Mus musculus: one gene and its partners. The protein of the gene in region 2 binds, or shares a complex with, the protein of the main gene of each other region. Links are inferred from orthologs where the notes say so. Each region holds a gene or a part of one and is shown on either strand. Other genes may lie near its edges.

Evidence for each region.
Region 1: Pole (region 2) and Pole4 share a complex: the UniProt entries of both Homo sapiens proteins name them as parts of the DNA polymerase epsilon complex. The link is inferred for Mus musculus from reciprocal best matches to the Homo sapiens genes POLE and POLE4.
Region 3: Pole (region 2) and Pole3 share a complex: the UniProt entries of both Homo sapiens proteins name them as parts of the DNA polymerase epsilon complex. The link is inferred for Mus musculus from reciprocal best matches to the Homo sapiens genes POLE and POLE3.

What each region holds. Positions count from the first base shown.
Region 1 is NC_000072.6:82,649,984-82,654,367, forward strand, and holds the start of Pole4 (DNA polymerase epsilon subunit 4), read right to left. Parts: upstream 2,883-4,384; 5' UTR 2,857-2,882; coding exon 2,641-2,856; intron 2,185-2,640; coding exon 2,100-2,184; intron 1,496-2,099; coding exon 1,454-1,495; intron 1-1,453. UniProt on the Homo sapiens protein: Accessory component of the DNA polymerase epsilon complex. Participates in DNA repair and in chromosomal DNA replication.
Region 2 is NC_000071.6:110,334,508-110,337,973, forward strand, and holds the end of Pole (DNA polymerase epsilon catalytic subunit A), read left to right. Parts: coding exon 1-109; intron 110-1,332; coding exon 1,333-1,533; intron 1,534-1,866; coding exon 1,867-1,992; intron 1,993-2,450; coding exon 2,451-2,540; intron 2,541-2,624; coding exon 2,625-2,738; 3' UTR 2,739-2,946; downstream 2,947-3,466. UniProt on the Homo sapiens protein: Catalytic component of the DNA polymerase epsilon complex. Participates in chromosomal DNA replication.
Region 3 is NC_000070.6:62,523,248-62,526,499, reverse strand, and holds Pole3 (DNA polymerase epsilon subunit 3), read left to right. Parts: upstream 1-1,485; 5' UTR 1,486-1,503; coding exon 1,504-1,569; intron 1,570-1,664; coding exon 1,665-1,750; intron 1,751-2,063; coding exon 2,064-2,182; intron 2,183-2,389; coding exon 2,390-2,556; 3' UTR 2,557-2,702; downstream 2,703-3,252. Other genes in the region: 4933430I17Rik (uncharacterized protein C9orf43 homolog), read right to left, coding at 622-682. UniProt on the Homo sapiens protein: Accessory component of the DNA polymerase epsilon complex. Participates in DNA repair and in chromosomal DNA replication.

The DNA of each region.
Region 1 (4,384 bases), on a different chromosome or scaffold from region 2:
TGGGCTGTCAAAAACAACATAGTAGTAAACTTTTACATACCTAATCACATGGTCTTACAAAATAAACAGAATCAAAAATTCAAGTGAAAATAATCTACAGTTGTGGTAGGAGAATTTAATGGACAATTCTTACTCAGCAACTGATAAAACAAGCAAGCAGAACAGAATAGAGTACTTTCTCTTCAAGAATATAAAGACCACCACCAAGGATGACCATACACTGGACTATAAAACAAGTTGGGCAACTAATTCAAGTTATTTTTAAGACAAATAGGTGGAAAAACAAAATCTACAACTCAAAGAGAATACTCAAAAATCTAGACTTGAAGCAGACATTGGAGAGAGATCTTAGAAGATATCAAAGAGAACATCTAAAGAGTGCCATGGGCAAAGGTTAACACAGAGAAGCAGAACAGAGTGAAAAAAGAAGAAAATATTTCAGCGTCAGACAAGGTGGCATATGCCTATTTATGTATGTATTGACTTATCATTATTATTACTAGCATTTTGGAGGTGAAGACAGAAAAGGAATTCAAGGTCACTCTCAGCTACACAGTGAGAGTTCAAGGCTAGTCTGAGCTATATAAGACCCTGTCTTAAGTTAGGAACTGAGGGTGGAGAGATGACTCAGTGATTAAGACCTCTTGCTAGCTGGGCGGTAGTGGCGCACGCCTTTAATCCCAGCACTCGGGAGGCAGAGGCAGGAGGATTTCTGAGTTCGAGGCCAGCCTGGTCTACAGAGTAAGTTCCAGGACAGCCAGGGCTATACAGAGAAATCCTGTCTCGAAAAAATAACAACAAAAAAGACCTCATGCTCATCAGCAGGCAGTTGTGAAGCACACCTTTAATCCCAGCACTCTGGAGGTAGAGGCAAGTAGTTCTAGGATCTCTGCGAATTCAAGGCCAGCTTGGTCTACAGAGTGAATTCCAGGAGAGCCAGGGCTACACAGAGAAACCCAAGTCTCAAATAGAGCAAAAACAAAACAAAAAAGTGCTTGCTGCTCTTCCAGAAGCCCTGTTCACAGCACCCATGTTTAGCAGCTCACACTACTCTTCTGGCTCTTATGGGGGTACCTACATACATTTGGCATATAGAAACACACATACACGTAAATAAAAAGGAATCTTAAAAAAAGTTACAAATTGTTTCTAATTCTTAACATTATAAAGGAGCAATATTAATATTTAGTTTGGAGATATAAACAGGATTCAAAATCTAAATCCAATTCTACTGGTAATTTATATACTCCCTCCTTCTTCTTTTAAGCTTGCAATTTCCCTGTAGAATTTCTAATTCCCCAAGAATGGAAAATGTTCCTTTTTTTTCTATCAAAACAGGGAGAATTGCTGCCATGTATACAAAGGAAAACCACACATCTGTTTTATAAGGTTTTATAAGGTTTGAAGCTCACATCATCAACAGAGAAATAGTCTGTGCAGGCAGTGAACTCACCTTCTAGAAAAGCGAATTCATCCACAGCTTCTATTGCATTATCTGAAACACAAGGTAAAGGGATACTTGATTGGCTCTTGCCATTCAGACATCAGACCCAACATGGAATTTTATGCAAATGACATCACTTACAAACTGTAACCCAGAGGTCCTAAGATCCATCTTTACACTCACTATTCTTTTAACTGTCTCACCTCAAAAGCCAGCGAAAATGCTGTTCAAGGCATCCTACAATCCTGTCTTATTCCAAAATTCACTTTTCTCTCTACTCTAAAGACACTAGAACAAGGCCGGGCGTGGTGGTGCACGCCTTTAATCCCAGCACTTGGGAGACTGAGGCAGGTGAATTTCTGAGTTCGAGGCCAGCCTGGTCTACAGAGTGAGTTCCAGGACAGCCAGGGCTGCAGAGAAACCCTGTCTCGAAAAACAAAAACAAAAAAAAAAGATACTAGAAAAAGAGTTTGGCAGCATAGAAGGGAATGAGAGGTACAGTCTCTAAAGGCTTACACATGTGGAAGGGTTACCAGGTAGACAAATAAACCAAAAGCCAAATTTCCCCTTGCTTCAATGATGCCTTGTGAAACAGCTATAAGAAAGCCCAGCCCATAGCTCCCCTGTCCACCCTGGGGTACCACAGCGACTCTACCCAAATCTCTCCTCTGGAGAGTTTTCCTCTTTCCTTGTTGAGCACAGCAGTAGGCATCTTTTGCGATAGTCTCCACGAACAGTTCCTGCAACAAAAAAAAAAAAAAGCAAGCAGAGATTAGTGGACTCTAGCCCACTGAGATGAGCAATCCTGTGTAGACGTGGACAAGAAGGGTAAAGGGGGAACTCTACCACACAGGAAAGTTCTAGAAGCTACCATTGTACTGAACTTATGAAAATACTTCTGCTATCCCTCTCCATAGCTCCAATCCCCCTGCTCTAATATCTCCAAATCCACCCTACTCATTCATTAGGATCCCCTTCAAGTTCTGTGTGAGCCGTGGGAGCCATGCAAACTAAATTTGCGTGGGTCCTCGTGAAGAGGAGAGTGGCTAACCAACTCAAACGGGGCCCACAGAGGCCTTCCTAGGTCTCAGTCAAGTCAGGTCGGCGTACCAGGGCCCGCCACGCCCCCTAGCGCCACGCCCCCTAGATGCCACGCCCCTTTCCCCGACCCAGGCGCCCTTGCTTCCCCGTCGCACCGCGGCACGCGCCAGGATAAAGATGGCTTCCTGTCCCGCCAGCGTTACGTCAGGGTCTGCCTTCACCAAGGCCTTTACTCTCGCCAGAGGCAGCCTCGAGAGGCGAACTCCCCCGGGTGCACTCGTCGGGGCTTGGGCCTGCGAAGCCGCTGCCTCCCCTCCGGGAGCCTCTTCCTCTCTGGGCGTCCCGCTCCCAGCAGCCGCCGCTGCCGCCATCCCCTCCCGAAACGTGTGGCGCGCGGTCGCTGACTGAGCGCGCGCACGCGATTTCGGCCCCTTTCCCGCGCCGGGTAGAGACCACGCCTCTCCGTGTGGGCGTGGCCCCACCCTCACTAGGCGTGGCGCGCCAGAACCGCCCCCTCTGACTCCGGGGTCTGATGTACTCTTCCGGGCGGCCACAGCCTGGAAGCGGCCGGGCGTGGCCTAGCTGAGCCGGAAGTCCGGATGCTTCTCTAGAGCCTCAGTAGGTGCTGAGTTTAACCTCTAGGCCAACAGGAGGGGAACCCGTGGGTGTCCCCACAACGCTGCCCCGCGCAGCGACAGACCCGGGCCAGCGCCGGGGATCATGTTTTAGGTGGAATGGGACGTTTGACGGGCAGAATTGGAAGTGCGGTTTAGTGGGAGGAAACCACTGCAAAAAAGGCGTGCAGACACGGAGAGCAAGTTTTGTCTGTGGTTGGTCAAACAAGGGTTAGCTCAGAACACTGATCTCCTTACTCAAAACAACAAAACTAAAAACTGTGTTCTCTAGGAACATTAATTGCATAGGGTTTATGTTTTAAAATACTAGTATGTAGTGTTGGCAAAACATTATCATGACAAGTAACTTTTCAAAAACAAAAATTGGCGGGGCGGTGATGGCACACGCCTTTAATCCCAGCACTTGGGAGGCAGAGGCAGGCGGATTTCTGAGTTCGAGGCCAGCCTGGTCCACAAAGTGAGTTCGAGGACAGCCAGGGCTACACAGAGAAACCCTGTCTCGAAAAAACCAAAACCAACAAAACAAAACAAAAACAAAAATTGATGAGAAAAAAATTAATGTCTCCTTTAGAAAACAATTTGATCGTCTAGCTGCTTCTCAACATTTTACTATCTGTTTTTTTGCATAGTTATGGAAAATTCCACTGCACCTTCTTGAGAGAATGAGAATGACTAAGATTAAGATAACTTTTACCAGGTGTGGTGGTGCACGCCTTTAATATAAGCACTCAAGTAGCAAAAGCACATCATGCTCTTTGAAACCAGCCTGGTGTACAGAGGGAGTTCCCAAGCCAGCGAGGACGACATAGTAAGGCCCTATCTTTAAAACAGAAAATCGCTTTGACCTCGCCGGCCTCTGCAAAGGATCTCCAAGAAGCCTCTCCCTGCCTCTTCTTACCTATGAGTTCTCATACCGAACCAGAGATCTGGCATGGAAGTGTGGCAAATATTCGCAATAGGCAAGAGAGACAACTCAGTAAAGTGTATGCTGCTCATCAAGGACCTGAGTTCGAATCACCAGAACACAGTAAAAGGCTAGTGTGATAGAACTCCTGTAACTTCTGCACTAAGAGAACAGGATTGCTTAAGTTCTTTGGCCAGCTAAGCTAGCCGAACCAAATCAGTGAGCTTGTGGACCTTGGGCCTTTATACCAACAAATGCATCCAACACACACTAAATTTTTAATATAAGGCATAATAAGAACACTGTGTACCTAGTTAATTGCTTTATATAAATATTAATGTTTAGTCATAATGCCTGTAC
Region 2 (3,466 bases):
CACAGGTTCTCGGAACACCACTGAGCCCTCAGAGATGTTCCCCGTCCTCCCTGGTTCACACTTGCTGCTCAATAATCCTGCTCTGGAGTTCATCAAATATGTGTGCAAGGTGAGGGCCAGGTATAAGTCCTTCAGTCATTCCATCAGCATTTGCTGGGTCTCTATCCAATGCAACCCTTGTTGAGGGATTTGAGCTTAGGTATTACAGAAGAAGCCCTCTCTGATAGATCCTAAGCCTGGCGATAAACCATGAGAGACTGGTTAGTTCAGATTCTGGAGGTCCTGGAACCAGGCACAGAGGCTCTGGAGTAGGAGAGCAGAATGCTGGGAAAGCTATAGCCCACGGAAGTGGAAGGAGTCCATGATCGCCAGTCACAGTGGGCCTGGTGAGCCAGAACAGACCTGAGACCAAATGAGGTGACAGAGCTTGTTTTCTGGGAAAGGCGGGCCCACATGGTGAGATGATACTACCCCTGCCCATGCGGGGTTATTACTCAAAGCACTTATTGTTCATTGTGCCATCTGAGCATCCCAGCGCTTCACTCTGAAGCTGAGCACTGAATATCAAGTGACTACACCTCAGGGTTTAACATGGTAAGCTGGGGATGTTTCTTCTCCACAGATGCACTTTGGACAGTCACTGACCTCTTTCCCAGAAAACAAGCTATAATGAACTGCACATTAGATCTGTGGTCCATTTTTAGTTCATCTTTACAGTGTATACACAAGTTTCCAGGGTGTTCAGTTCCAGAGCTCTTTTCCATTGGATATTTACACCCTTTCAAAGCACAATTGGACTGGACACGTTGGCTTACACCTGCAGTCCAGGGACTGCTAAGGCAGGTAGCAGGACCAGTTTGAGGACAGTCTGTATCTTCAGAAGCTAGCGAGTAAGACTCTGTCTTTAAAAAAATAACAACAAACAAACAAACAAACAAAAAAGCCTCATTTGGGCTTCTTTATTTTTAGATTCTGTATTTTTTTGCACATTGATGCTAGTATTTATATGGGCTGTTTTTGTCCATTCTTATGGTGGTAACAGCCTGTGTCTTTGTGTGGTATTAGGGTGATGTTGACCTCCTAGGACCAATGAGGGTCTCCTCCCTCTTTAGCTTCTGGAAGGTATTGTGTAGAATCAATGATGTTTCCTTCATCAGTGAAGACTCTACTCACTGACAGAGTTGCTACTGTAGAGAATCAGCTCTTCCTGGAGCTTCCAGATGGGAAGAAGGGCTAAACGGTGCTGGGAGATGAGCTAAGAAGGGGCACTTGGTCCAGCCAGAATGGTAAAGAGGCTTAGGGCTACTTCATGAAGGTCTGTGGTCCCCATAGGTACTATCTCTGGATACAAACATCACAAATCAGGTGAATAAGCTGAACAGAGACCTTCTTCGCCTGGTAGACGTTGGTGAATTCTCTGAGGAGGCCCAGTTCAGAGACCCCTGCCACTCCTACGTGCTCCCTGAGGTAATCTGCCACAGCTGTAATTTCTGCCGAGACCTGGACCTGTGCAAAGATTCCTCTTTCTCTCAGGTGAGCTCAGCTGATGATCAAAACTTCTAAATGTCCAAAGTGGTTGGGACATGTAGCCCAACCTGTAATATACAACATATTACCTCAGTGACTCATTTATGGATTAAAAATAGGCCACCCCTAAGCCACTCCACTGTAACGTGCTAAAAATTTGTTCTGAAAGGTCTGATCAGCACAAACCAAAAGCTCAGGCTGTATGGAATGCAGCCAAGAGTAGTGATGGTTTCCTTTGCCCCTGCACTCTCTGCATCTTCCCTTTACACCAGCCTTCTATTGCCCAGCTGGGCCCTGGCTTCCACTCACTGACATCTAAGCCTTCCTCCCATTTCCCAGGATGGAGCCATCCTGCCTCAGTGGCTCTGCTCCAATTGTCAAGCCCCCTATGACTCCTCTGCCATTGAGTCAGCCTTGGTGGAAGCCCTGCAGAGGAAACTGATGGCCTTCACACTTCAGGACCTGGTGAGCTCCCTAGTCCACCCAGGAGTTTCCAAGCACTATCAACATTTCAGAGAAGCCAAGATCATGTTTAGATCCTGACTGCCCTAGGAGGGAATCCTCATCCATGGACCTCGCCCACTCATTCTGTCCTCATCATTGATACCTTCTGTGGGCAGATGGGCCTGTCCAGTGGAGGGAGATAAACCACAGACAGTAAAGATGTCAGTGGTAGAGTGCAGGAGCAGAGCAGAAAAGCTTCAGCAGTTTAGGAGGACCTGAGCAGAGTCCTTGAACAAATCCCTGGGCAACTATTAGGACAGAGCCAACTGGGACACGGGACCCTCCCAGACCTTGGTAGTCCAGGTTGAGGATACCCACAGCAAGGTGGGCATTTTGGAGAAGGAATTGGCAAGAGTTGAATAACTTGAATTTTGTCAAGCACTGAGTCCTGAAATGATGGTGCTGCTTGCTTGTTTCAGGTATGCCTCAAGTGCCGTGGTATGAAAGAGACCCATATGCCTGTGTACTGCAGCTGCGCAGGGGACTTTACTCTCACCATCCGCACTGAGGTGAGCCATTCTCACACTCACTATAGGGATTTCCTCTCCCGTCTGAGTAAAACCCAGAGTCATTGTGTCTGTCTGTTCCTACAGGTCTTCATGGAACAGATTAGAATCTTCCAGAACATTGCCAAGTACTACAGCATGTCATATCTCCAGGAGACCATAGAATGGCTGTTACAGACAAGCCCTGTATCAAACTGTTAGCAAGCCTAGGCTAAAGACACTTTGGTATCCCACACCTACTGCCTGCTCCAAAAGGCAGAACCACTGACCACCTTGCTTTTCCAAACTCATGAGCACAGCCCAGAAGGAACAGAAGACTTCTGCTAACGTCATCATGCCATAAACAGACAGAAGCAGGGAATGGCTCTATCCCTAGCTGCCTGCTAAGTAAACACGGTTTTGAAGCGTCTGTTTTATGCTTCCACACAAAGCTCTTCTGCCTCTCGTCTGAGCATGAGATATGTTCTAAGATGAGGTAAGGGTGTGGGCAGAGAAGACACAGAAGCCAGTGCAAAACCCTGACTCTGACCAGAGTCTTGCTTATTTTCAGACAAATAAGCCTTTCCATCAGCTTCATGGGTATAGAATTCAGTCTGCTTTCTGGGAAATCCAGAAACATAGAAGCCGGGTGTGGTGGCACACGCTTTAATCCCAGCACTCGGGAGGCAGAGGCAGGAGGATTTCTGAGTTTGAGGCCAGCCTGGTCTACAAAGTGAGTTCCAGAACAGCCAGGGCTACACAGGGAAACCCTGTCTTGAAAAACCAAAAAAACAAACAAAAAACCAGAAACATAGACCCAGGGGTTTTTCTTCAGAGCAAAGTATGAAGAGGGTTATCTGTCACCCAGTGTCTTGAGTGAGACCTGGTGCTCTGTCCAGAACAGGGCTGAGACAGGCCTAAACTAAACACCTTTGATCTGCCTAGTCTAT
Region 3 (3,252 bases), on a different chromosome or scaffold from region 2:
CACTTTGAGCCAATGTTTTAAAAACTGAAATGGTCCAGAATGTTAGCTTTCTGGCTTCTCTCCTAGATCACAAGGCCTGACAGCACCAGTTCTAGATAAATAGTGGCTGGAACTAAGGCTTATGACATCTTTAATCCAGGCCTGTTCTAAGTGCAGAGTTCTTTCCACCAGAACAATCCCTCAGTATTGTTCATCATCCCAACCCTGTCGGGTTGTTTTTGTTTTGTTTCTCCAAATAGGGAAAAACTTCTTTGTAATGTCCCCATCAAAAATTTTAAAAAAAACACGTTTTGGAACAACATGTTTTAAAAAGAAAGAAAGAGAGAGAGAGAGAGAGAGAGAGAGATATGAAGGAAGGAAGGAAGGAAGGAAAGAAAAGAGAAAAGAAAAGAAAAGAAAAGAAAAGAAAAGAAAAGAAAAGAAAAGAAGGAAATAATCCAGCATTAGTTCTCAGTAGGAGTATTTTTTTCAGTACTTAATTATACAACTTAAAGCAACATTGAAAATGTAAAATCAAGTGATGATTTTTGATAAGAAAAATATACAATGAATCACTTAATGATTTAAAAAATACAACTTTAACTTGGGTTTTTGAATGAGAATACAATGCATTATTCTTACAATCAAATGATTCTTGCGCTTTCAGTACCGAACCAGACCAAATTGAGCTCCGAAGTCTCATCAGGCGTCTTTTGATATTGCCCTTGTTACTGCTGTCCTAGTAAAGTAATGGCATTTTTTTAAACGAAATTTTAGATTAACACTTATCCTTAATATAATTATCACAAAGTTGTGAAGGGCATAAGATTAAAGATGGACAATACTACTGCATCAATCGGTGCAATAGAATTGAATGAAAATCTACACTGAGTTCCGAGCCAAAAAAAAAAAAAAAAAAAAAGGGCGGTGGGCACTCAAGTGTCAGTCGTTCGCGATTTTGCGGGATCAAAGCAGATTCCAAAGAGTTACTACGTTCTGAGCCTCTGGAGACAATGCTGAGATTGCGAAAGCGCGTTAAAGCTTTGGCCCCGCCCACCTCTTATAGAGAGCCCCGCCCACTTGGCAGTCCGAGTCCCGCCTCTCCCGGCTCAGTCTACGCCTACCCTTTCCAAGCTAGGCACCAGGCCACACGGTTGCCTAGCAGCGGCGAACGGCACGCTGGGAGAATCGACGGAAACCTCAGAGAGTCAAACTTAGTGTGGTGCGAAAGCTCTCGCGATGTGTAGTAGAGAAACAAGCCTGGAGTGGAACGTCCGGGATGCCGTGGAAGCGGATGGAAATTTCAATGGTCCTAAACCATTGCGACATGGAAAGCTGGGCTACACTGGGGACTTGTGGCGGGGCTGATGTAGCAGAGAGGCTGTGGTGCGCAAAGCACTGTGGGACACTGGCAACGTGGGGTAGGACGGAAGCCTCCGAGGGTCATATTTTAGCGACGCGGGAAGTCCAGACACCAGAACTGTCTGGAGACCTGAGCAGGAGGGTCGGGCCCCAGCGGAGGCAATGGCGGAGAGGCCCGAGGACCTAAATCTGCCCAACGCCGTCATCACCAGGATCATCAAGGAGGCGGTGAGCCGCTCGGGCTGGCGAATGGGTCGAGGGCGGACGTGTGGGCAGAAGGTTAACAGAATCCGCGTGTGTGTTCATCTCCACTCTCCTCGCAGCTCCCGGACGGTGTCAACATCTCCAAGGAGGCCCGAAGCGCCATCTCCCGCGCCGCCAGTGTCTTCGTTTTGTATGCCACATCCTGGTGAGCTGAGCAGAGGCTGAAGGGAGGCGCAGCGGGATCCTGACCCCGCGTTCGTGGCCTGGAACCTACAGGCCCCAGTTCCCTGCCTCAGTAGAGAGCGACTTACGGCTCTCTTCCAGTTGTCACACATTCTGGAGCAGGTTAAACAAGACGGTTACCGTAGCCCTTTGTATGGGAAGGGGATGAACTGAGCCATGCCACACACACACACAATCCATTCATCTACGATAAATACGGCTTTCCCACCCCATTCCTGGGGGTCATGCCTCCACCCACTCTGACAGCTTCTGAAGGGCGTTGCTCTTTCTTCCAGTGCCAATAACTTCGCAATGAAAGGAAAGCGCAAGACTCTCAATGCCAGTGACGTGCTGTCAGCCATGGAAGAGATGGAATTCCAGCGATTCATAACACCATTGAAAGAAGCTCTAGAAGGTATCCACGTACTCTTCTGTCTCTTAAACCATATATAAAAAAAATGCTCATCAGTATCAGTGCCATTAAGTCCCGTTCAATAATACAGGACTGGTCATAACTCCCCTCTGTTTAGTTGGTACCATCTCGGGTATGTGATAGGGGCCTGGTTATTCCACCTGTGCCTCGGTTTGTCTAATTAAACCATAATATCCTGCTTCCTTACAGCGTACAGGCGGGAGCAGAAAGGCAAGAAGGAGGCTTCGGAGCAAAAGAAGAAGGACAAAGACAAAAAGGATTCCGAAGAGCAAGACAAAAGCAGAGAGGAGGAGGAGGAGGATGAAGAGAGACTGGACGAGGACGACCAGAACGAAGAGGAGGAAATAGACAACTGAATGGAGAGAGTAGGCAGACTGTGGCGTGGTGGAGGGGACCCTGAGATCCTGAGACATGTCTGTGTGAAGGCTTTCCCTGCAAGGCAGAGCCATCTTCGGCACTGGTGCCTGAGATCAAAATAAAAGCTGACCAGAAAGATCAAAAAGAACTCTTCCCAGGCTCAGAGCATCTGAGTTACAGAAACCGGTCATGCGTCATCAGTCTGCAGGTTAGGATGTTTTTGAATAAGCGATTCTGAGTGACTACATAGTTTGGTATTGCTTGTCTACTTAAAGTATATGGCTAGCTAGTTTCTGATCCCATTTCCCTGCCCCTCTGAATAAGTAATAACATCCATGTTGCCTGCAGTGTTCCAAGTCACAGAAGCACTAAAGGCTCAGGGGGAAACAATGGGGCTTTGAGCCTGGTCACCCAGTTTGACTGTACAGTAGTTGACCATAGGAACTCGTGCTTAGAATGGCTGCTCTCTAGGAGATGACTAAGGAGCTGTGAGCGAGCGAACGAGGAAATGTCTTCACCTGATGGTAGCATTACTTACTTGGTGTCTGGCTTTCTAGACTTACTTAGCTTTGTAGTCCTCTAGTGACTGTAGATGCTCAGTCGTCTGGGGTGGCTGCACTCATAGGACACACACTCTTTAATTCTGAGTGTTGATTAGAATCTGTCAAAAAAGGTGCCAATTCTTAAAAGCAGGG